Linked DNA regions of Mus musculus. The protein of the gene in region 1 interacts with the protein of each later gene in a biochemical or structural test. Links are inferred from orthologs where the notes say so. Each region holds a gene or a part of one and is shown on either strand. Other genes may lie near its edges.

Region 1 (2,191 bases):
GCCATGTCTGGCCGTGGCAAACAAGGAGGCAAGGCCCGCGCCAAGGCGAAGTCGCGGTCGTCCCGCGCCGGGCTGCAGTTCCCGGTGGGGCGTGTGCACCGGCTGCTGCGCAAGGGCAACTACGCGGAGCGCGTGGGCGCCGGCGCGCCGGTGTACATGGCGGCGGTGCTGGAGTACCTAACGGCCGAGATCCTGGAGCTGGCGGGCAACGCGGCCCGCGACAACAAGAAGACGCGCATCATCCCGCGCCATCTGCAACTAGCTGTGAGGAACGATGAGGAGCTCAACAAGTTACTAGGGGGAGTCACCATCGCCCAGGGCGGGGTCCTCCCCAATATTCAGGCTGTCTTACTTCCGAAGAAAACGGAAAGTCATAAGCCTGGAAAGAACAAATAACTATTATCCCTTTCCACACAAAAAGGCTCTTTTAAGAGCCACCAAAGTGTCATCCAAAGGGCTGGTCACAAACTGGCGCGTTAGCTAGCTCCTTTGTAAAAGATTTGGTGGCTCTAAAAAGAGCCTTTTTGGATTCGTGTTGAGTTTCACTTGCTCTTAGCCTTGTGGCTCTCGGTCTTCTTGGGCAGCAGCACGGCCTGGATGTTGGGCAGGACGCCGCCCTGTGCGATCGTCACTTTGCCCAGCAGCTTGTTGAGCTCCTCGTCGTTGCGGATGGCCAGCTGCAGATGGCGCGGGATGATGCGCGTCTTCTTGTTGTCGCGGGCCGCGTTGCCCGCCAGCTCCAGGATCTCGGCCGTTAGGTACTCCAGCACCGCCGCCATGTATACCGGCGCGCCGGCGCCCACGCGCTCCGCGTAGTTGCCCTTGCGCAGCAGCCGGTGCACACGCCCCACCGGGAACTGTAGCCCGGCCCGGGAAGACCGCGACTTGGCCTTGGCGCGGGCCTTGCCTCCCTGTTTGCCACGGCCAGACATAACTTAGAGTATAATGTAGGACACACCGAGGTGACAACTTCTGTAAAGCTAGGTTGATTCGTCTCTAAGGCCTTTATAGGCGCTCCTAGGGGTGGGGTGAGGAGGGAGCTTTTCATTGGTGGTTATTTGGCCCCTGAGAAGTCCAATGAAATCTGAAATTTTAGGCTTGTACTGAAAACGCAAGTTTCGCGTATGGGCCAATGGAAATTAAAAGTACTTTGAGACCTAATTTGCATAAGGCGTTCATAAAGGGCTCAAGTCCTCCGGGTCCCTGGTTGATTTTCTACTTACTAGACTGTTTTCCACTGTTTGCTTTTAATCATGCCTGAACTGGCCAAATCTGCCCCGGCTCCCAAGAAGGGTTCCAAGAAGGCTGTCACCAAGGCGCAAAAGAAAGATGGCAAGAAGCGCAAGCGCAGCCGCAAGGAGAGCTACTCCATCTATGTGTACAAAGTGCTGAAGCAGGTGCACCCGGACACCGGCATCTCGTCCAAGGCCATGGGCATCATGAACTCGTTTGTCAATGACATCTTTGAGCGCATAGCAAACGAGGCTTCTCGCCTGGCGCATTACAACAAGCGGTCTACAATCACATCGCGGGAGATCCAGACGTCGGTGCGCCTTCTACTGCCCGGAGAACTGGCCAAGCACGCCGTGTCGGAGGGCACCAAGGCCGTCACCAAGTACACCAGCGCCAAGTAGAGGCCTCCCTGGATGAGGCGCTCGCTGGCCCCTTTGATCTTTTAAAGTCTCTTTTAGTGAGTCACCCGCTCAAATCAGAAGAGAGCTTTGCCACTTGCATTAGTTTCTAGTTCCTATTCCAAAGTTACTCCAAGGGTCTTGAAAAGGGTACACTTCAGAAGTTTTAAGCCTTTGTGGTTTTGAGTTCCCCTGTGGGTATCTGTTTGCAGTTTGCTGCACCCTACTTAGCTTCTTGGAGTTCTTTTTAGACTAGGATAATGGAGGTGGGTCTCTGGGCCCGGTTTCCGTGTTCTAGGCTTTTGGGGTACCATTTACTTGTCGACTTAAAGTGAGATGGTTTCCTTACCCTGGCGAATAGAGGGCTCCAGGACACAGCTAAGACTGTGTCGGCGAATGCTGGGTACCAGCCATCTACAACTGAAACCGCTCTGTCCCTTTACTTGTGTCCTGGGCACCAGCGGTTACGGGGTACTTAGGGTGGTGTCCCTCTAATTTACTGATTTACAAACACGAATGTTCCACGTTGCTGCCGATTTGGTAGAAGTCGGTTATGGTTC
Region 2 (2,927 bases), on another chromosome or scaffold:
TAGCTTCTTGCTGTACAAACGTAGCTAGACCAAAACGAACATTTGTGCATGATAAAGTGTATGAGTTAAAGATGCAGATCTGGTACTCTGTTGAAGACAAAAAAATGAGTGACTAATAGATCATTTCTAAGGACTTTCTCCAAAAGTCAAGATGGGCTAGATAGGTAGAAAAACTGAACAGCTGGCTCACCACCTGACACCACTCCCTTTAACTGTTTACCAAGTAAGTACTTGAAATGTTTTCAAATGGATGAAGAAAACAGCTAAGAATAAATATGGTGCGGACATACCCAGGATAGTGTTTAGTGAAATAGTTGAGCCCCTCTCACAAGTAATTGCTTATTTACTGTCCAAGTCACCGAAGGAAAGAGTAATGGAGCTAAATACATGGCAGAAGCATCACACATGTCTCACCCAAGTGGCCTGGAACTCACCATATAATAGCAGGCTCAAAACCATGGCCCTCCCCAGCCTCCCAAGGATGTAAATAGGTTATGTGCCACCATGCTAAGCTTAATAAATTAGTATTTTTATTTTAATTATGTAAGCGTCTGTTTGTGTGACTGTCAGTGTCTGATTTAGTCAGAAGCTTTGGAACCCCAGGAGCTGAAGTTACAGGCAGCTGGGAACTGTCTGAAGTGAGAGCTGGGAACAGAGACTGGGTTCTTGCAGAAACAGTACATGCAGTAACCACTGAACCATCTTTTCAGCCCTCTGGAGTAACGACTTCTAAAGGGAAGTATCAGTTCTTATCCATCCCAGTTTTCAACTTTGCTTGTAAACAGAAGACATGGTCACTCTGCAACCCAACGTTCCAGCAGAGAGGCTACCAGAGCACATCTCTAGGAGGCTGGTGTGGATGACAAGAAACTCAGGCTCACTGCAATTGCTGTTTCAACTACTAGAGAGACTGCACAAGTGGTTCAACAGAATTTACTTGTATATTTTCCATTTTCTATACTATTTGAAGGCATAGGATAGCTTTGTATTAGCTTTCTACAATACTGTGTTTTAAATCTATCCAGTAAACTAAGATGCAGTACAACTTGGATACAACTGAGGAGGTGAGAAGCAACTCGGCAGGCCCTGGTGCTCAACAGTTCCAGAATAAACAGGTAGCGCGCAGCTGCATTAAAAGGTAGTTTGCAAATATTCAAGTTACACCAAGATTCCTTCCAAATCTCTGCCTTGCTCAAACCAGCGCAACCGGCCATTGCTAATACTGCGGCACGGTGTTTGGTAAATGGTGATGGTTTTACTTTCTTTTTAATCAAAAGCCTGTGAAGGTGCTGCCACACAGCAGAGGAAGTCAGCTCTGCTCGTGGTGGAGGTGCCAATTGTGAAGTCACAAAAGGTACAGTTTACATGAGAAACGCACATTAACAAGTGGCCCAAATACAGAGCTGGACAGAACCAGACCAGTAAGTCTATAGTTACTCAACTGAACTTACAGAAGTACATTCAAAATAAAGCCGGAGATCAGAATTGGTTTTAGAATCGAATTTGCAGACTTTCTTGATAAACAGAAGAGTGACCTTCTGCAGTTGGAAATGAGGCTCTCACCTGGCAGAGACTTCGCAGTCCCTCTTGCACAGGTGAGGAAATAAGTGACAAAGTCTCTTGCACTGAAGTTATGTATTTTAACAGCTTTACACGTAATATTCATATATAAAAAACTTTAAGTGCTTTTCTCCAATTTAAAAATCTAAAGAATTCAAAAATAAGGCATTCAATATTTGAAAAAAGTACAGATTTACAAAATGTGTATATTCTGTCATGAAAACTCCACACCAACATTATACACTTGGAAAAAAATACAAACAGGATATATTACAAATTTATGCAGCAATAACTTAGTTCACACCATGCAATAAAAAGTACATTAATCAAGATACACAAGCTTTTGTAGGTTCTAAACTGAAGGACTTTTTCTTTTTTTCTCTGCAGAATCCTTAAAACCCGTGGCACTTAAAACTTGCTAGCCTTTCTACTGGGAGGTAAATTATACACAACAACGATGAAGGATGAGCAGACCAGGTGTCTATTATGAATCATTCCAGCTTTGCTCAACAATGGCCGAAACTCTCTTCTCATACTCCCGTTTGTTTTCCTGATAAAGCTGTGCTGCTTGGCTGTTGGCTGGACTGTTTGGATTCGGTTCATCCAGCAGAGACTGGGAGAGAGAAGGAGAGAAGAAAATGCTCTTCAGCTGTGTGCTATAGTAACAGGACTCAGATAAGGACAGAAAATTACACAAAACAGAATTACTTGGAAGTTCCAATGTCATCTTTCGGGTCACAAAACCTTCAGAAATTACATGAAGCAGGTTTCTGTTGCTAAAAAACATAAGCTTCCAAAATAGTTCTCAGTTGCCTTGAGATTTCCCATTTCAAGGAGATCAGCCAAAAACAGTATTCATTAGCATATAAGAACTTCCTCACCATTGAAGTAACAGCTTAATCTGGTTGAACTATAACACCTATAAATACCTTAGAAATTTAATTTCATGTATTTTGTACTGCTAGTAGTATCTCTCTCTATTTTTCTCTGTGTAGCCCTGGCCTCCCTCTGCCTCTGCTCTCCTACAACTAGGATTAAAAGTGTGCGCCACCACTTCCCAGCTCCCAGATCCACTATCATCAGGTTTTTGTGGTGCTCAGAAGTTGGGCATGCTGGATAAGTGTTCTACTACTAACCACTGTCCCCTGCCGCTAGGCCCAAACCTTATTCCTGTGGTTACTCACATACGCTTAGCAGGGAGGGAATAAAAGAGTAAAGTTCTGAGGTGGGAAGGAAAATACAGGGTAATGAGCAAGCTAAGGGTTAACAGTCACTCTTCTGGGGCTGGAGAGATGGCTCAGTGGTCAAGAGCACTGACTGCTCTTCCAAAGGTCCTGAGTTCAAATCCCAGCAGCCACATGGTGGCT
Region 3 (4,184 bases), on another chromosome or scaffold:
GCTCAGGATAGGACATAGCCAGGATAGAGACTGGAGACCCAATTTTGTCATGATGTGTGGCCAAGGAGAACGGGTCTGAGCGGATGCCATCCTATGCTGTGTGGCTAGGCAGGGCACCCACCCAGTCACCTGAATTGCCTTAGTCCCCTCTCTATCAGACTGGTCTAGAATGAGCCAATCTTGTCACCTCTTGTTCCCACATGCTTGTTCCCAGATTCAAATGGGAAGAAGATGTGGAACAACAGAGGCACAGAGATAGGTAATGGCTTCACTTCAAAAGTAAACTCTAAGCCAGGCGTGGTGGCGCATGCCTTTAATCCCAGCACTTGGGAGGCAGAGGCAGGCGGATTTCTGAGTTCAAGGCCAGCCTGGTCTACAAAGTGAGTTCCCGGACAGCCAAGGCTACACAGAGAAACCCTGTCTGGAAAAAACAAATAAACAAACAAAAAAAGTAAACTCTAGACTTCTCAGAGCACTGTGGTAGGAGGGGCTCTGGGGTGATATCCACACACCCAGAGGAAACTAATTAGTAACTATCTATCAGGGGGCTGAAAGAGGGTAGCGTTAGCTTGGGCCATGTACCTGCCATCCCCAGACTAGCACATACTAGCAAGTAGCTTCTGGGCCATGGGCAAATCTGCCAGGTAGACACCCAGATCCCAGAAGGCCCATGGAGGGAGAGGAGGGACCAATCCAGGAAGCCTTCCTGGAAAAAAGGGGACAACAGCAAGGACATGAATTTGGGGTAAAATCCCAGGAGGCCAGACTGAGCCTTACTTGGGGAAGTGAGTGAGGATGAGGGTCCTCTTCTCAGGCACCAGTTTGTCCTTTTCCACCCGAAATTTTTCCAGTAGCTGCCGGCGGGTGACAGTGAAAATGGACCGTAGAAGGCTTCGGCCAAACACGTGGGTGGTCTCGTAGCGGGGGAGGCTGTCGCAGCTCTGGGGCACGTGGCAGTAACAGAGCCATCTGGGGGAGGTGGAGCGGCAGGTGAGGGTGGAGACCGCCAGACTGGCTGTTCAAGCCTCCCCTGTAAGGCCCTGTCTGGGCTTACCTGGTATAATTGACTTTGTAGGTAGCGACATCCTCAGACTGGGACCGCTGCCGGAATTGAGCAGGGGTCTCCAGCTTCCAGTAGTTAAGGCAGAGCAGGAACATCTTTGAGAGCTCAAACATTGTCTGGCGCTCTCGGGGGGCCAGGTGGCTAAATTTGTACTGCACAAAGTTCAGTACACCCTGAGGAGTAAGGAGGGGACAAAATCAGGAGGAGGTGTGGACAGCCAACAGAGGCATGTCAAATAGGAGGGATTCTGTGAAGAGAACCTCTGACCCTTCCAACTTCCACACCCACTCTGAGGTCAGCAAACACCATGTCCCTTCCTTGAACCTCTCCCCTGTTCTCAGCTTGAGGAAATAAACCAGACTCTCCACCCTCTTAAGTCGCCTTTAATCTTGCTACATGCCCGCCCTACCTGTTCAATGTTAGGCTTCTCAAATGGGGGGCTGCCTAGAGACCCCTCCACCACTGGCCGTGTCATCTGCAGAATGCACTTCCGCAAGAGCTGTAAGGAAGAGGGATGGGCAGAAACAGGAGTAGCAGAGCTCAGAGAGCAGGATCCCCAACACACACCAAAGCTTCACCATCTTTACTCCATGAGAACTCACCTTGAAGAGGTAGAAATAGACTTGTTTGGTGTCTGTGTCCTCTTCCTTGTGAACAGACATGAACAGATTTTCTACATCTACTACCATTCCCAAGAGCCGGTTAATCTCGTCCTCTGACACATTCTCCAGGTGGGACACATGGTCCGCTGCAAGATGGTTACATTAGGGCTGGGAAGAACAGAAGAGCTCCACGGGGCTTGATTCCTGTACCTCCTCTAACTAGCCAGTGACACACCCTTGATTCTCCAATTCTTGACAGACAGGGAGACCCAGTGTTCTCAGTTCTCCCATCAGCCCTTGGTAGCTACCTGCTACCAAGGCAGATCTCCTTTTTTCCTTCCATGGGACATTCACATTTATTCCCTACCCAATATTTCCTTAGAAGGTCTCCAAGAAGCTCTGTGGTACTTATGTCACCCTGTTCAAACAGGACCTGGCTCCTGCCCTCCGCCCCAGCTCCAAAGGTGGTGCCTGCCTTACCCAAAGGGTGCTCACAGCTACGGCACAACTCGCTCAGGTTGGCAGCTGGCTGCTGGAGGTCCATGCGGGGTGCGGTGGGGGGCTTGGGGTTTTTCCAGCCATTACACTTGCAGGTTTCATTGGCCTGGAGGGGGAAGGTTCAGTTCCCTGATGCTGTCTGCATCCCAAGCGCAAGAGCGGCTCTATGGCTAGAGCTTCGCCCCCCATTCCTACCCCAGACCTTGGATGCCCCAAGCCCCGCCCCTTTTGCTCTAGGCCCCGCCCCCACCTTGCAAGCTGAGAAGACCCCTAGTTTCTCAAGCTTCTTGGCACGCGGCAGACCCCGGACTTGCGCCTTCCTCTGGCTAGCGCGCTGCTGCTGGCTCAGGCCAGGTCGAGCCGGATCCCCCCCACTTCCTACCCCGGCGCCCCCACTCCCTGTGCTCCCAGCTGGGGCTGCAGCTGGGGCAGGGGCTGGTGCCGGAGTCGGAGCCGGAGTGGAGGCTGAAGCCGGACTGGGCGCAGGAGTCGAAGTTGGGGCAGGGGCTGGGGAGTGAAGGGGCCGGGGCTGCGCTGCCGGGACCGGGTTTGGGGCCTGGGAAGGTTCCGCCATGGCCTCCCCCGCAGCGGAGCGGCGCCGCGCTCCCAGCCCTAGGGCCGCATGGGCAACCGGCGCACAGTGCGCAGGCGTCACGGCCCCGGCGCACGATGGGAGTCGTAGTCTTCCTTTGCCGCTTCCCATCCTTTGGCCTTCCATACTTTTTTTTTTCTTGGTTCCAGACAACCAAATGTCGCTTGGTTGAGCATCCTAGATTTGACCATTACTTCATTCTAATCTTTTTTAAGCCATCCGAGATAGTGACAATTACTATCCTCTTGGGAACAAGAGGCACCCCAGAACACTGGCCGTCTGGAGGATTTGTGGATGCTGCCCTTTTAAAGTCCATAGGTGGAAGAACAGGCCTGGGCCTGAGGTTGGCTCCCACATTGCAAAAGCCTGCCCTATTGTGGCTGCCGGCTAAGGCTTGCAGCTACAATAGAGATAAAATGTAACATTAATTCTACTATTTGTACTGTGGTGTTCACACTTATGAATTAACTTTGACAATCAGTTTTTGGGTTTTGTTTTGTTTTGTTTTATTTTGTTTTTTGAGACAGGGTTTCTCTGTGAAGCCCTGGCTGTCCTGGAACTCATTCTGTAGACCAGGCTGACCTCGAACTCAGAAATCCGCCTGGCTCTGCTTCCCAAGTGCTGGGATTAAAGGCATGCGCCATCACTGCCCAGTGACAATCAGCTTTTTCTATACTTGGGTTGCTGTTAAACAGAAACGGTTTTATTTTCAAAAGAACAAAGAGACATAGTTGTGGGCCATGCTGCTGTTGAATGTGTGTGTTCATGCACGGGCATTCGTGTGTGTGTGTGTGTGTGTGTGTTGGGAGTGGGCAGGAAAGGGGGGGGGGAGTGTGTTTGTGTGTGCTGAGAACTAAAGAACCAGAGAGACCAACACTGAAGATGCGGAGGGTAGGGGGTGGTCCCCTCTTCTGGCTCGCCTAGGCAGCTTTGAAGATGGAGAGGATTCCTGACCTCATACCCTTCCATCCTACCTCCATCTTTTTCCCTGCCCACTCCTTAATGGGGGGGTGGGGGTGGAGGAAAGCCAGAGAAATAGACAGTTTCTTCCCATTGTAGAGGTAGACTGTGAAAGGTCAGGGATAGTTCTTCCTGGAAGATCAGAAAGGCCCCCTCTTTTGGCTCAGTCCAGAGAACAATTTTCCTTGCCCCAGGCCCGATTCTTAAAAGGGCAGGGTAGGGCAGGGCCGGCAGGGCAGGGCAGGGCAGAGCAAGCCAGACCTTTTCAACCCCGTTGCTCAATCCCATCAGCTCCCAGGATGGAGCTGTAACCCCGCACATTCAGGTGATCCAGTTCCTTCATAGCCTCCTTCCTGCCCTCTGATGTGAGAGAAGGGCCCAGGGAGAAGCAGAAGCCGGTTCTGGACAAAAGCTGCAGCGCTTGCAAGGAAGATAAGACAGCGACTTGAGTGTTTTTGCCCTTCTGGAT
Region 4 (3,500 bases), on another chromosome or scaffold:
AATGAACATGAGAGCCAATTTTTATTAATCATTCTTTTAATTTTTTTTTTTAAGAACTGAGATGCCCTTGCCTCTGACATGCTGGAATTAGGCTGTGCCATCATGCCAGGCATCTTTTTTTCAAATCTGCACAGCTTTAATACTCTAATATTTTCCAACAAAAATGAGGAAAAAGCAGTTCACTAATGACCAATTTAAAAAATCTAATGCTAACACAAAGGTATCAACAGTAAGAATAACAGAGAGCTAACAGAGAAACTAAAAACCTGAAAACAACTTCAATCAGGATGATTGCCCACGGACAAACTGGTGGTAAATATATAAACTCTCACTATACCATACAGGAATGTTCTTCTTAGTCCCTTTTTGGTCATGAACTATTTCACAAAGATTGAATGTGATAATATCTAATTTGAAGTCCCATCACTATCTTCCTAAAGCATTAAGTTAAATTGCTTTTAGAGGAAAAAAAAATTGCCAAGATAAACATAAAAAAAGTTTTAAAACTCGGAAGAAAAAATTCAAATGACAAAAATGTGGAAAAAGCCAAACACTGCATTAGGACAGTTTATTATGTTCACAGGAAATAAATGGAGCCAAGACACCAGAAGAGAATCTACTGAAACTACAGCTTGCTAAGTTGTCTTAACAAAAGATAGAAGCTCAACTTGACAAGATTCGTCTGGATCCCAGGGTAATGCAAGACAAACCCACACCATTTTCCATCTGTGCGCACATACAAGCATGTGTCTGAGCCAGTAAGCAGCGAGGATGGTAAAGCCAGGTGTTCGACAGCAGAGCGTAGTATCATTTTCTTACAATAATTTATTTGTTTCTAGACAAGATCAGTAAAAATATACCAATTCGCCCTCTCACACCAAGATGCCATGGAGGGAAAAGCTGTAAACTCTAAATATTTTCTGCCACTTAAAGGGATTAAAGAGAATGTTCTGCTACAAGAAGCCTGAAGTCCATGTTGGACCCAGTTTCTGATTACCCATTCAGTTCCAGGGATTCCCTACCTACCAATCCACCACTCAGCCCATGCCACTCTTAAACCCTTGCATTAACAATCTAGCAGTGGGGCTGTAGAGATGGCTCAGCAGGTAAGAGTGCTGCTGAAGGTCCTAAGTTCAAATCCCAGCAACCACACGGTGGCTCACAACCACTCGTAATGAGATCTAATACCCTCTTCTGGTCTGTCTGAAGTCAGCTACAGTGTACTTATGTATAATAATAAAATCTTTTTTTTTTCTTTTCTTTTCTTTTTTTTTGAGGCAGGGTTTCTCTGTATAGCCCTGGCTGTCCTGGAACTCACTCTGTAGACCAGGCTGGCCTCGAACTCAGAAATCTGCCTGCCTCTGCCTCCCGAGTGCTGGGATTAAAGGCGTGCGCCACCACACCCGGCTTTTTTTTTTTTAATAAATCTTTAAAAAAAACAAACAATCTAGCAGCTATTCTGTAACTAATTGATGTTGATACTTACCTGTTTTTTTTAAAGATTTATTTATTATATGTAAGTACACTGTAGCTGTCTTCAGACAGGCCAGAAGAGGGCATCAGATCTCATTATGGATGGTTGTGAGCCATCATGTGGTTGCTGGGATTTGAACTTGCGACCTTCAGAAGAGCAGCTGACCTTCAGAAGAGCAGTCTGCGCTCTTAACCGCTGAGCCATCTCTCCAGTCCGATACTTACCTATTTTAATTCAAAGGAAATGCTAAAATGCTTAGAATTAAAACTATGAAGGGAACTAATTAGTGTTATGGAAGATACCTGTGTGGACTCCTTACCCATTCATTTAAAAAAAAAAAGAGGGAAAAAAAAGGCTATAAAAGTTTTGGAAAGGGAAGTGGCACCTGAAGATGTACTGACCAAGGTGTTTTTATACCTGTAAAGATGCCACACTTAGAACACTGCAGTTATTGACAATGGAAACAATTCCCAAGGTTGTTTCCTACTAGCCGTCTTTTGTAGAAACACATTTGTAAATTCTTCCTTTGTAACCAAACCTCAGAGAGTAAGCAAGCTTGCTGAGCAGAATGTGAGACATCTCAGGATATTAGGACAGAAGAGCTAGCTTTGCAATACATCATTTCTGGATTATAGAACTCTTTCCCCATGCTTTGCTTGGTTATCTCTGAAACATTTGAACAATGCTTCTCTGGGACTTTCTATGCTGTACGGTATAGGCACTTTTAGATACATTACAATTATCTTGAGTAGAAGTTGGCATCTTTGTTCCATTAACTGAATCCTTCCATGTGTTTTTAAAGGGCTCCCAATAGTCACCTTTTGTGTTCCTCGGAGATTTTGAGTGATCTGCATTAGTTTGCTGTAGGGAGTTCCTATCTTTGGAATTCTTCCTTTGTCTATTCAGCAGCCTGTCTGGGGGTGAGGGTGTGCGTAGCTGGTACTGATCTGGGGATCCTTTCTGCCGGTTTGGCACCATTTGCTCTTTATCTACCTCTTTCTGAAGTTGTAATGCTAACAATCTGTCCTGCTCTTCTTGCTTATGTCTCTCAAAAAGCATATGTTCCAAATCTATCAGTTTTTGTGTAAAATTCACTTCTGTTTCTTCTTGATCTGAGGAGGATTCGATGAATATTTTCCTTCTTTTTGCAGAAAAACATGGATCCATGACTTCTTCAAATACAGATTCCTGGTTTTCTCTGTCGGAAATCTCTTCTTCAACTAGTAAGTGATACACTCTACTCTCTGTTGGAACTCTGTTGCCCCCAGTTAACTGGGGCACACCTGTCACAGAGTATTCTTCATTTTCTATTTTACTAGAAGAGTTAACTGCAGCTTCATTAGAGTAAAAAACTGTGGCTCTAGGTCCATCATCATTTACAATACATAAATCATCAGGACTGGTTGATACTGTTTCAACTTTTCCCTCAAGGGACTCTTTAGTGTCTCCTACACATAACTGTGGCCCGGGTATCCCTGCAGAAGACTCCGAACCTTGTTCTTGAGTTTCCAGGCAGGTCTGAGGAGAAAGTGTTGGTATATTTTTTTCAATTTCTGTGTCTTGCAACACAGGGCTCTTCGTGTCACTCCTATCAGTTTCCTGTAGAAAACAAAACTCCTGAGTATATATAGAGAAAACGTATAAGCCAGCTACACTCATCTCTTAGATGAATGGTCACTAGACACGATCACATATTACTAATGAGGGATTCTCATCACCACTGTACCCACCTTTTCTTTTTTTTTTTTGTTTTTGTTTTTTGTTTTTTGAGACAGGGTTTCTCTGTATAGCCCTGGCTGTCCTGGAACTCACTTTGTAGACCAGGCTGGCCTCAAACTCAGAAATCCGCCTGCCTCTGCCTCCGGAGTGCTGGGATTAAAGGTGTGCGCCACCATTGCCCAGCCATAATTCTTTCTTAACTTTATTTTTTTTACCTGGTGTGCCAAGTAAGATCAGGACAAGTCATTTCACTGACATGGAAACCTACAGTAGCTTTAATTATGTTTAACATATGGCCAATAGCTGG
Region 5 (2,742 bases), on another chromosome or scaffold:
GGAGTTAGCCTTAATGACCAGGAGGTGGGAAGCCCAATGGAGACCCTGGTGTTTGACAGTGTCCCATGGAGAACTTGATGTTTTGACTCAGTCTGGTAAGAGAATTCTGAGAACACAGCAGAATTCCACTCTGAGTCGTCTCCTTCTTGAACACATCGCAGAAGCCAAGTGTCGGGTGGGTGTAGAAGAACAAGGACCTGCAGGGAAGCAGGCAAGGCTGAGAGAGTCTCCCACAGACCTGCTGTGCACTGCTCTGCGGTCCAGGGGCCCCAGACTTCCCACTCTCACAGACAACAAGAGGAAAACTTCATAGGCTGAGCTAACGCCCATGCCTCCCAGAAGGTCAGTGTGGCCTGGCTAGTGGTCATAGCTGACACTAATAGTTTAAGCTTCTTAAATTTTAGGCTAATATCGATGTCCCACTTTTGCAGCAAGGTGACACAAGGAGCTTTGCTGGGGCCCCGTGTGTGCGAATGACATGGAGAAGATGGAGGCAAAACTCAATGTCAACACTAAAGCATTTATTTGAATATCTTTACTTTTTACATATGATACATCCCAAATTTTACAATTGTCCACAGATATTAAAATTATAGCCAATTTATTAAACACATGATCTCCCCTGATATGGAAAGCATGGTATATAAACATTTCTACAACAAAAACATGCGGAACAAGTGGAAGTAAGACGTGTCGGTAGGGGGAGGACATGACATTGCCACAGTGTGAGGACTGCCATTCCCTGGGAAGTCACTGCCCAGACCCTGATGTTCCCAGGAGTGAAACACAGGGCCACCTCTGCTAATCCCAGGCTCCTGTGGAGTCAGGTGAGAAAGCAGATGTTTTCAGCCTGTTTAGAAGCAAGCTGTGCTCATGATTTTTTTTTTTTCCTTTTGGGTTGGTACCAGGGCTGAACCTAGGCCCTCAGTCACACTAGGCAAGTGTTCTAGCACTAGGCTCAAGTCTAGAGACGTTCCCATAACTTTACAGTTAAGCCTTGTGAACGGAAGGTGAAGAGCCAACAGAAGCTGAACTTAAAATCTAAAGAAACGGCATGTGCCAAAGGTCGAAAGCATCACCATCCACAGCCCAGTCTGACTATGCCAAGGGAAGGCGAGACAAAGGGAGAGCACGGAGTCTAGCTTGGGCTTCCATTACAAACTCTCTGTCCTGAGCCTGGGCCGCGCTGAAGAGCTAACTGAAGTCCATCCTTTGAAGGGGAGGCAGCTCCTCACATGATCCTGGAGACTGTGCTACCTGCATTTCTTTGAGCCTCTGGTCTGGATTTCTGACTCTCCTGAGACACGGAGGCATGGATAGAGCTGAGTGGATGTGATTTGAAAGGCTGAGTGAGAGGTTCTTTGATGGTTAGAGAAGCTGAAAGCCCCTTTCTGTTCCTGGAGACTGGAGTTCATCCCTCTGCTGAACCTGCTGTCACCATGTCTATGTGACTTCTCTGAATGTGACGGATATCCGTCAGACGAGGAAATAGGTGTGCGGTGTGCCAGAGCCGTAACTGTGGCACCAAGTAGCTATAGTTCTAGAAAGGCTGCTCTTAGAATAAAAAGAACAGGCGTTTGTGTGCACAGGCTGAGGAATGTCCTAGATCAACCAGCAGACAAGCAGCAACACATCTGATCCAGATGCGGGGCGGAGCGGGGCGGGGCGGGGCAGGGCAGGGCAGGGCAGGGCAGGGCAGGGCAGGGCAGGCAGCTCAAAACACTGCCTTCTGGATTTCGTTTGGTTTGAGACAGGGTCTCCTCAAGTTACCCACGCTGGCCGCAAGCTTGTAACACAGTTGGAGCTAGCCTTGAACTCCTAGTGCTGCCTAAGCATCCTGAGAGCTGGGATTGCAGGCTTGGAGCACTGTACTCAGCCGAGCTCTTACTTGTCTGCTGTGGTCTGCTTGAGGGTGCGCACATGCTCTCTGTTTAGCCTTGGAGCAGAAGGCTATAGTCTGAAAAACTAGGAGGTCCTTTACATTTCAAAAAGCCCTTTAATTGAGTAATGCTTTCAAAGCTAAAAGTCTTGACCAACCATCTACAGCCATGAAAAGCCGGCTGCTCTCCTGTTAGAGTCCCCAGCTCTCTAGGCCATAGGGGGAAGCGAGTCCTGTCTTCAAATTGACTTGCTTTGCTCTGGAGGTGAGGTCTAGTCCCAGAGCTGAACCGCATCCCAGTCTCAGGAACCATGGTGGGACATGTCCTCCTGACAGGCCCCAGGGCTCCTTTTGGCCTCTGGTGGACAGCCAGCAAGCTTGACACCATCAGCAATGTTGACTGGCTCAGGCTACTGCAGCTGAAGCAGGCAGCGTCCAAAGGAGCTAGACTCCGGTCTAGAAAGGGCTCTCAACCCAGGGGACGTCCGTCTAAGGGACACAGCAATAAAATCTGGCAGAAATGACTTTTATCAGTCCCTGGAGCCAGACTAGAAAAATAAAACTGGGAAGAAAAGCTTAAATAAAGAATTTATTTCAAAATAGATTCAGCCGAACTTATTTCCTGTTGTCTTTCTGGAAAAGCCAGCTGTGTTACAAAACTCCAAGTCAAGTTTTTAGTAGAGGAGCGATTATAAATGCTGCCAGTCAATTCCGACCAGGGTCTGGTTAGCCTCCTGCGCGTGTCCGATCTCCTCTGTGATACTATGCTGCTGCCAGAGCTTCTGGATCTTTCGAAACCGCTCTTGGCATAAATGTAAAGGATTTCCTCGTCTAGAAAGAGACACATGTCACTCACAGGCACA
Region 6 (4,116 bases), on another chromosome or scaffold:
ACACAGCAATAATTTGTATCTATAAAAAAGGCAGAATGAGCAAGAGTGCTGTCTGAAAGGACACTTAATAAGTGACCAGATTTTGGGGGGTGGGGGGTAGAAAAATGACAGAAGGAAAAAGGAGGGAGTTCAGGTCTGTGCCTGGAGACTGTGTGGATGTTGCCATCATGCACTGAACTAGGGACAGCTCAGAGAAAAATCTGAAAGAGGGAAGCTGATACAGTGATGCTGAGGTACTTGTGAGACACAGAAGTGCTGGTAGGTTCTAGTTAGAGTTCTGATCGGAAGCTCACAGACACAGGTCAGTGAGGGTTTAGGGAAATAAAAACAAGTGTTAGGTTGAATTTGAGAGTTAGGTTTGTACATTAGAATGGCAGGGTAGCAAAACATCAACTTGACAGAAATTAAGTCAGGAGAGATGCCAGGCTTGGAGATATCACTAGGAATGGCCACTGAGCACAACTCTTATGGCAAAACACATTTCCTCAAGGAGGGTTCAAAAACATTCAGAAAAGGAAGATGAGAAGAAATAATAGTTGAAAGAAAACCAAATTGCAATGCTTGGTTTTCGTATCTAGCTTTCAGTAAATGCTTAAAACTGGTATGTTTCAAACTAATCTTCAAGAGTTCCTTAAATGCTACTGTCCCCTGTAACACAAAATACCTCAAGGGGCACTCGGCACACTAAACTCAACATGATTCAAACTCCAGCATTACAGGGCACCATTCCACATAATGTCAGTGATGCTCCAGAAGCAGTGGCTGACATGAGGACCCTCCTAATCCTGCTTGCATGCTGCATAGAAAGAAAGAAAGAAAGAAAGAAAGAAAGAAAGAAAGAAAGAAAGAAAGAAAGAAAGAAAGGAAGAAAGGAGAGAGAGGGATGGAGGGAAGGAGGAGAGGAAGAGGAAGGGGAGTGGAGGAGAAGGGAAGGGAAAAGAAAAAGGGGAAGAGGGGAAAAGGGGAAAGGGAAGGGAAGGGAAGGAAAGAAAAGACAGGACATGACTGCTCCTAAGTATGGCGGAGAAGAAAGTTCATTGTAGATAAAAGGGAGAGCATATGCAATGGTGGGGAACATCCAGAGAGAATATGACCCTGAACTGGGCCATGTAAAGAGAATGCAGAGAGAAGCTGCAACAGAGAGAGGCTGCCTGGGCCAAGAGACAGGCCAATAGAGTAAAGGACAGACCAAAAGGGCCAGATAGCCAAAATGGCTGAATTATATAGAGAAGGGCAGCTGGGGGAAGGGCAGACTAACTTCAGGGCTAAAGAAAATAGGGTAGGAGGCAGGGTATGCCAGCCATACCCTGCAACAGGCAAGACTGAAGGATGCTTTAAGAACCTGGAGGCCAGTTCCACTGTAATACAGCACCTCAGGTAATCATTTGTCTCTCCTTTGAGACCTAACATACGAGGTTAACATTACAACATGCCACCAGTAGTCTCAAGTGTCAAGAAAATGGTACAAGAAAAAGGGATGAAAAACTAAACACAACCAGGAAAGTTAAAACGAACCCTTGAGAGAGGCACAGAGCCAATGCTTTCAGGTGACGGTCACTGAACACCAGGTGAATTCCTTTATGAACTCCAAACTGCCCTCGCCCACTGAGGTCACCGATTCTCAAACATCACAAGCACTTGCTCAAGTCTGATATATCACACTGGTGTAGAGTTATTGCTATCTCAGGCTATCCACGTAACTTTTGAACTTTTGAGAAAATATTTATGTGAAGTTAACTACCCCTCATTTTCATCACATTTTAAGAACTCACTGGCTATTTTAAAATGCTTCTTATTCTGGTGCCTTATAGAGGAGGACTGGCAGTCTACAGTGGAGCAGCCCTCCTGTCAAATGAACTATATGGGCTGAAAATGGAGCAGTACTAGTAATAGTATGTACTTCAGCAGAATTCTAACGAAGTCGCTGACAAGTTACAAGTAATGTACCTGGCTTCTACAGGAGGTCCTATCTGGCCCCCATTACTTAAAAGGAGGGATACCGCGTCCTCCTAAAGGCACGTGTCAAATCAGGTTCAGTTTAAAATCACACTGCCCGTCCTTGCAGGCACTGGCATGACACCCCTAACTGGGTCTTCACTACATTATCCTAACACAGCAAAGAAAACATCTGCCGAGCATTCTCCATATGCTAAAACATCTCTCAGAATTATTTCATTCGATGCTTACAACAGTAAGATCGACAAGTGATTCTTGGTTTCCAAGCAAGCGGAGCCTTGCTTGGAAATGCCTCAAATGCCTTGATCACGGTCAGAGTGACAGTAAACAGGAAGAGCAAAAGCAAAAGGCAAACATGACTTGTCCAACTCTAAAATCTGGATCCTTTAGGGTAAGCTGCCTTTCCCCCAAGTTTTCAACAACTTGCTCTGAGAAGGAGGAATCAAACGACTGGACCAGGTCGCTAGCGGGCGCAGGACTAAATTAGACGCCAGTGTTCAAGATGCTGTGAGGCGCCTGAGACAGCGCGAATGCAGGTAGGAATCCGAATTAAACACTGTCCATCGCAGCCCAGAAAGTGGAGATAAACAGTGCAACCTGGGGCACCGGGTCCACTCCCGGACCCGGCCGACTTCCGGCTGGGAGCACCCCGGGTCCCGACGCCGTCCACACGGACCCTCGGCCAACCGCATCCTCCGACCCTTGCCTAGCACAGCCCGGCCCGCAGGACCCCGCTCCGCGCCTCACCCCGGCTGTGCAGCCGCCGCAACATCTCCTTCCACATCCACATCCGCCTCCTCCGCCTCCATGACTGCACCTGACGCAGGCGTACTCGCGAGATCCCGCGAGATGCGGCGGGGCGGGACCGGGGGCGGGCCCAGGGCCGGAGGCGGGGCCTTGGCGTGGCGCACTTCCGGGGAACTCCGGCGAGTAAGACCAGGAGACTGCGTGAAAGCTGCTTCCCCAAGGACCGCATGGGTTATCTCACTTCTCTCACGTCTTACGTGGGCTAACTCACAGCAGATCTTTTTCCATTCAGGCGAGAGACCCTGCTTTGTGGCATCCATTGTCTCTGGTTCATTTTCGCACACACACACACGCGCGCGCGCGCCTACCCGCCCCGCCCGCCACCGTGAATTATTAGAATGACCCAGTGGAATGGATGCAGGTTTCACGGATTTTATTTTATGGATAAGTAAATAGACTCAGAAAACTGACGTGATTGTTCAAACAGAGAGCTTGGTAGATTGATCTTTTAAACTCTGCCCTGAGTGTTTGCCATATACATACAAATCATTGCTGGGAATCTGTGAAGCAAAGAACTTAACGGTTTTCCAAGAAATCAGAGTCTTGCTTCTGCATTTTTCTGCCCTCAAATCTGTCTCTCATACAGTTAGAATCCATGACTCATTGTCTTCTCGATCAGACTGTGACTTCTTTAAGGATAAAACCTGTCTGGTAGTCCTTACACTGCCTGCGTTCAGCACAGTGTCTCACGTAGTAGAAGCTGTGTTGGACAGGTAAGTGTATTGGGAACCAGCAAAATAAACCTGATTTGTTGTTGTTTTGTTTTGATTTTTTGAAATAGGGTTTCTCTGTATAGCCCTGGCTGTTCTGGAACTCACTCTGTTGACCAGGCTGGCCTTGAACTCAGAAATCCACCTGCCTCTGCCTCCCAAGTGCTGGGATTAAAGGCATGCGCCACCACGCCCCGCAAAATAAACTTGTTCTTTTTTTTTTTTTTAAGTACTACCATGTCGTTTTCAGGCTTCATTTAATCATAGGGGTAAACTAAATTCAAGGTCCCAGGCCCTGGGGGAGCTTCTGTTGTAAGGAGACAGCTATTTGAGCCCAGCCATCTCAGAGACAACTTAGAAGGAGACAATTGTCTGCGTCCAGTCATCTCAGGGAAAGTTGTAAGGAGACAGCAGTTTGAGTCCAGCCATCTCAAGGACACTCTCCAGCTTGCTGTAGGGTCAAACTAAGTTCTTGTTCCCAGGCCCAGGAACCAGCTCCTATTCTGATTGGTGGAAATTCGCATGCTCAACCCTTTATGGTCAAAATATGATTGGCCGAAGCTACAGCCTACCCTGCTTGCCCTCCCTTACTTTATGGTTTCATCCTTTAAATATGCTATGTAATTCCCCTAAAAAGTCACTC
Region 7 (3,500 bases), on another chromosome or scaffold:
CATCCTTTGGTGATTAACAGCAATGTGGAAAATGTAAGCTGAATAAACCCTTTCCTCCCCAACTTGCTTCTTGGTCATGATGTCTGTGCAGGAATAGAAGCCCTGACTAAGACAGGAGGCATAGGCAGACAGAGTTATATGACTTCCAGGCTTGTGTGTAGCCAGAGTTAGAAAAGACCAAGTCTCCAAAACAAAATTCCTTTGTTTAAAAATCAACGTGTGTGTATGCTCATTTTATTTAACAGAGAGACTGAATTTTCTCAATTATGAATATATCACACTATAGTATAGTTAAGTCTGTATAGACATTCCGCAAAACCTGCTGCCCACACAGGCCAGGCCAGGAATGAGGTAAGCAATCCTCACTCACCTTCCAGTTCTCCACTGCCATCCCCTAATCTTATCTCCAGCTTTGTAGACCATCTATCTGCTACAGCCTCTTTCCTGTCTACCTCCATTCCCAGGGGCCTGGGCAGATCTACAGCTTTCCTCCCCGACCCCATCCCTTTGTCTTAGCCTGTCAATAGCAGGAGGCACTCCCTGGAAATCCACTGGACAAGACAGTCAGGGAACCAGGTAGGTGCTCTTCACTCTCCAAGCTGTCTTTCAGTTTCAAATCCCAATTCCATCTTGTCCCCAGCTTTTAGTAAACCATCTGCTGTAATCTCTCCCGTCTCTCCCCCCATTCCCAGGGGACCATGCAGACCTTCATAGCACACCCAGCTTCCCTCCCTCTTGTGGACCCTCTCAGTATCCTTCCTTGTTAGCCCCTCCCTATTTCTTTGTGTCAACTCCCAGTATCTAGAAACACTTTCTACTTAGGATCCAACGTGGCCAGACCTGACAGGGTCTCAACGCACTCCCTATGAGGCAACCTTTAGGCACCCAAATCTCCTGAGATTCCAGAGCACAGGGAGTGGATAGGTCTGCACCAGATGGGGTCCCAGTTCTCATAGTAGAAGTAGACACATGACCCAATCCTTAACCCAGTAGCTATCTCCAATTGGTAACCACTTGAAAATGAGAAACTCAGCCTCACTGGGAAAACAAAAAGGCAGGCCCCATGCCCAGCAGTAAATGACCAACACAAAATAATCCTCCTGAAGGTTGTCTTCTAATGCTTTATGAGAGCCTTTCCTCCCGCACTGGCAGGTCCTTTGAGTACTCACTATGATTTCTAGTTTCTGTGTGTGCGGGCAAGTGTGTCTCTGTGTGTGCGGGCATCTCTGTCTCTCAATGTGGTTCTTGTGCTTGTCCTTTGGCTAGATTTTTTGTTTGTTTGTTTTGTTTGTCCTATTCCAGTTTGGTTTTGTCTTATCGTAGTCCTCTTTAGATTCTAGTTTGTTTTCTAAGGATAGAGAAAGGGTATAGATTTGTATGGGAGGAGCTAGGAAGAGACTCTGAGAGGGGTTGAGGCTTGGGAGTGGAGAAACGATAATCAGAATATATTGTATTAAAAACTATTTGCAATATAAAAGAAAATCAGAAAAAGAAAATCCTTCTAATTCTCTCTCTCTCCCTCTCTCTCTAACAGACACAGACACATACATGCATGTACAATGTCTATAATAATGTCTATAGCTCTAGGCTGGAGTCATGAGAAGAAGCCTTTGACCTTTAGTGACCTTAGTCCAGGCCCTTTATCACATATGGCTAGATCATTTCTCACATCCTATTTAATTGTACCACCAAAAATAAAACAAGTCACAACTAATATTACCTGCTATGTGTAATACTGGAGGTAAGGTTATTAACCAGGTGTGGGTCAGGCCCCTGTAAGCCTGGTAATCAGAAGGCTGAGACAACTGACTCACAAACTCAAGGGCAACCTGATCTACCGACAGATCTGATCTCACAAAGTACATGAATGGCTGGCTGGACATGGTGTTGCATGCCTTAAATCCCAGAACCTAAGAGGCAGAGACAGAAGGATTCTCTGTGAGCTCAAGGCCAGCTTGGTCTACATAGCAAGTTCCAGGATAGCCAGTGCTACATATAAAGACCTGTCTCAAAAGAAAAGAAAAAAAAATAGGGAGGTGGGGCTGGTAAAGGAATCAGTATATAAAAGCAGCTATACAAATCCAACATTGTTATATCTAGTAAGAAACATATTGGTTTGGGTTTTTACCTGGTTTTGAAGTTCTTACGCCAGCTTGTTTTCTAACATAATCAACCACTTGGCCCAATCGGTTTGAGCTACAGTACTTGACTTCCTCGTCACACTTGTAGCACCTATAACCAGAGAAAGAAAATCGACACACTGACGACTACGAGAGGGAGGGACAAATCATAATTATCAAATTACTCTACTAAAAACAATGAAAGTAGGGCTGGCAACGGCTTGGTGGATAAAAGTGCTTGCTTCAAAATCCTGCAACCTGACTCTAACCCCCAGAACCCAGTGGAGGAGAAAACTGATTTTCCACACATGCACTATGGCAATGCTGCACAACAGGGCTCACACATGCGCACATACATGTACACACAAACATATCACACACTTAATAATCTAAAATTGTAGAGAGAAACTGAAAATAAAAAACGGTTTCCGTGAGGGCTGGAGAGACAGCTCAGTAGTTATAAGCATGTACTATTTTTCCAGAAGACCCAAGTTTGGTCCCCAGGACCTGTAACTCTAGCTCTGGGAATCCTATAACTGCAGGTGCCTGTACTCATGAAATAATCTACACACAGACATATACAGAGTTAAACATAAAAATAAGTCTTAAAATGTGTTTTAGTACAACTAAGCACATTTTAAGTCTGGTTTATTAATAAAATTCACCACAATTACAGCTACGCCTAAGTAGACTAGAAATTCCAAACACAGGGAGCATCATTAAAATCATAGAAGTGATCTTTGTCACTTTGTCCCCATATAAGGTTCTAGGAATGGAACACAAAGTCTCGTGCAGGCTAGGCAAGCGCTCTCACACCGTAGCCCAGGGTGAGGACTTCGGGATGGATGGCTCAGTGTCTAAGAGCACTTGCTACAGAGCATGGGAAGCTGGGTCTGATGCCCTATATACACATGCACTTACCTGTAATTCCAGTATTATCCAGTGAGGCCCCTGGCCAGCCAGACAACAAACAAGAACCCACTAACTTCCCCTCAAGGGAGGGAAGGTCTCACATAGTAAGGAGGTGAGCAACTGTTGGGAGGCACTGCTGGGCCTCTGCACACACAACATGCACTCCAATATGTATGGACTACACAGTCTTGTGCACACATCATTTAAACTGCAGGCCAAGGCCAAGAAAATTAACAAAGTTGACAAGTGACAGATGATACTCAGAGGAATATTGCTGCAAAGACGGTTAATCATATTACAATCTAGAAGATACAGCATCATAAATGGCCTGACAATGGTTTTGTGGAAATTCATTATCCTTGTACTATATTCTCATGTATTTGAAATGTGTGCTTCCTGTCCCTGTCTTTAAACTAAAACCAATTAACTCTACAAGGAAAGACACAGGAGGTGCTAGTTCCCACGCCT

The links.
Region 2: of the proteins of H2ac20 (region 1) and Ube2b, one has a biochemical effect on the other in vitro, tested with the Homo sapiens proteins (2 studies listed by BioGRID, with this or other methods). The link is inferred for Mus musculus from reciprocal best matches to the Homo sapiens genes H2AC20 and UBE2B.
Region 3: of the proteins of H2ac20 (region 1) and Kat2a, one has a biochemical effect on the other in vitro, tested with the Homo sapiens proteins (2 studies listed by BioGRID). The link is inferred for Mus musculus from reciprocal best matches to the Homo sapiens genes H2AC20 and KAT2A.
Region 4: of the proteins of H2ac20 (region 1) and Rnf168, one has a biochemical effect on the other in vitro, tested with the Homo sapiens proteins (4 studies listed by BioGRID, with this or other methods). The link is inferred for Mus musculus from reciprocal best matches to the Homo sapiens genes H2AC20 and RNF168.
Region 5: the proteins of H2ac20 (region 1) and Ubr2 form a complex in vitro, tested with the Homo sapiens proteins (2 studies listed by BioGRID, with this or other methods). The link is inferred for Mus musculus from reciprocal best matches to the Homo sapiens genes H2AC20 and UBR2.
Region 6: of the proteins of H2ac20 (region 1) and Mysm1, one has a biochemical effect on the other in vitro, tested with the Homo sapiens proteins (2 studies listed by BioGRID). The link is inferred for Mus musculus from reciprocal best matches to the Homo sapiens genes H2AC20 and MYSM1.
Region 7: of the proteins of H2ac20 (region 1) and Usp16, one has a biochemical effect on the other in vitro, tested with the Homo sapiens proteins (2 studies listed by BioGRID). The link is inferred for Mus musculus from reciprocal best matches to the Homo sapiens genes H2AC20 and USP16.

What each region holds. Positions count from the first base shown.
Region 1 is NC_000069.6:96,219,913-96,222,103, forward strand, and holds H2ac20 (histone H2A type 2-C), read right to left. Parts: upstream 969-2,191; 5' UTR 933-968; coding exon 543-932; 3' UTR 501-542; downstream 1-500. Other genes in the region: H2ac21 (histone H2A type 2-B), read left to right, coding at 4-396; H2bc21 (histone H2B type 2-E), read left to right, coding at 1,254-1,634. UniProt on the Homo sapiens protein: Core component of nucleosome. Nucleosomes wrap and compact DNA into chromatin, limiting DNA accessibility to the cellular machineries which require DNA as a template.
Region 2 is NC_000077.6:51,984,638-51,987,564, forward strand, and holds the end of Ube2b (ubiquitin-conjugating enzyme E2 B), read right to left. Parts: intron 2,174-2,927; coding exon 2,045-2,173; 3' UTR 501-2,044; downstream 1-500. UniProt on the Homo sapiens protein: E2 ubiquitin-conjugating enzyme that accepts ubiquitin from the ubiquitin-activating enzyme E1 and transfers it to a E3 ubiquitin-protein ligase. In vitro catalyzes 'Lys-11'-, as well as 'Lys-48'- and 'Lys-63'-linked polyubiquitination.
Region 3 is NC_000077.6:100,709,668-100,713,851, forward strand, and holds the start of Kat2a (histone acetyltransferase KAT2A), read right to left. Parts: upstream 2,801-4,184; 5' UTR 2,738-2,800; coding exon 2,414-2,737; intron 2,270-2,413; coding exon 2,146-2,269; intron 1,812-2,145; coding exon 1,666-1,811; intron 1,563-1,665; coding exon 1,473-1,562; intron 1,237-1,472; coding exon 1,055-1,236; intron 970-1,054; coding exon 778-969; exon of another isoform or gene 583-777; intron 1-582. UniProt on the Homo sapiens protein: Protein lysine acyltransferase that can act as a acetyltransferase, glutaryltransferase, succinyltransferase or malonyltransferase, depending on the context.
Region 4 is NC_000082.6:32,297,961-32,301,460, reverse strand, and holds the end of Rnf168 (E3 ubiquitin-protein ligase RNF168), read right to left. Parts: intron 3,074-3,500; coding exon 2,135-3,073; 3' UTR 19-2,134; downstream 1-18. UniProt on the Homo sapiens protein: E3 ubiquitin-protein ligase required for accumulation of repair proteins to sites of DNA damage. Acts with UBE2N/UBC13 to amplify the RNF8-dependent histone ubiquitination.
Region 5 is NC_000083.6:46,927,791-46,930,532, forward strand, and holds the end of Ubr2 (E3 ubiquitin-protein ligase UBR2), read right to left. Parts: intron 2,711-2,742; coding exon 2,569-2,710; 3' UTR 501-2,568; downstream 1-500. UniProt on the Homo sapiens protein: E3 ubiquitin-protein ligase which is a component of the N-end rule pathway.
Region 6 is NC_000070.6:94,976,301-94,980,416, forward strand, and holds the start of Mysm1 (histone H2A deubiquitinase MYSM1), read right to left. Parts: upstream 2,801-4,116; 5' UTR 2,766-2,800; coding exon 2,704-2,765; intron 1-2,703. UniProt on the Homo sapiens protein: Metalloprotease with deubiquitinase activity that plays important regulator roles in hematopoietic stem cell function, blood cell production and immune response.
Region 7 is NC_000082.6:87,464,985-87,468,484, reverse strand, and holds part of Usp16 (ubiquitin carboxyl-terminal hydrolase 16), read right to left. Parts: intron 2,233-3,500; coding exon 2,129-2,232; intron 1-2,128. UniProt on the Homo sapiens protein: Specifically deubiquitinates 'Lys-120' of histone H2A (H2AK119Ub), a specific tag for epigenetic transcriptional repression, thereby acting as a coactivator.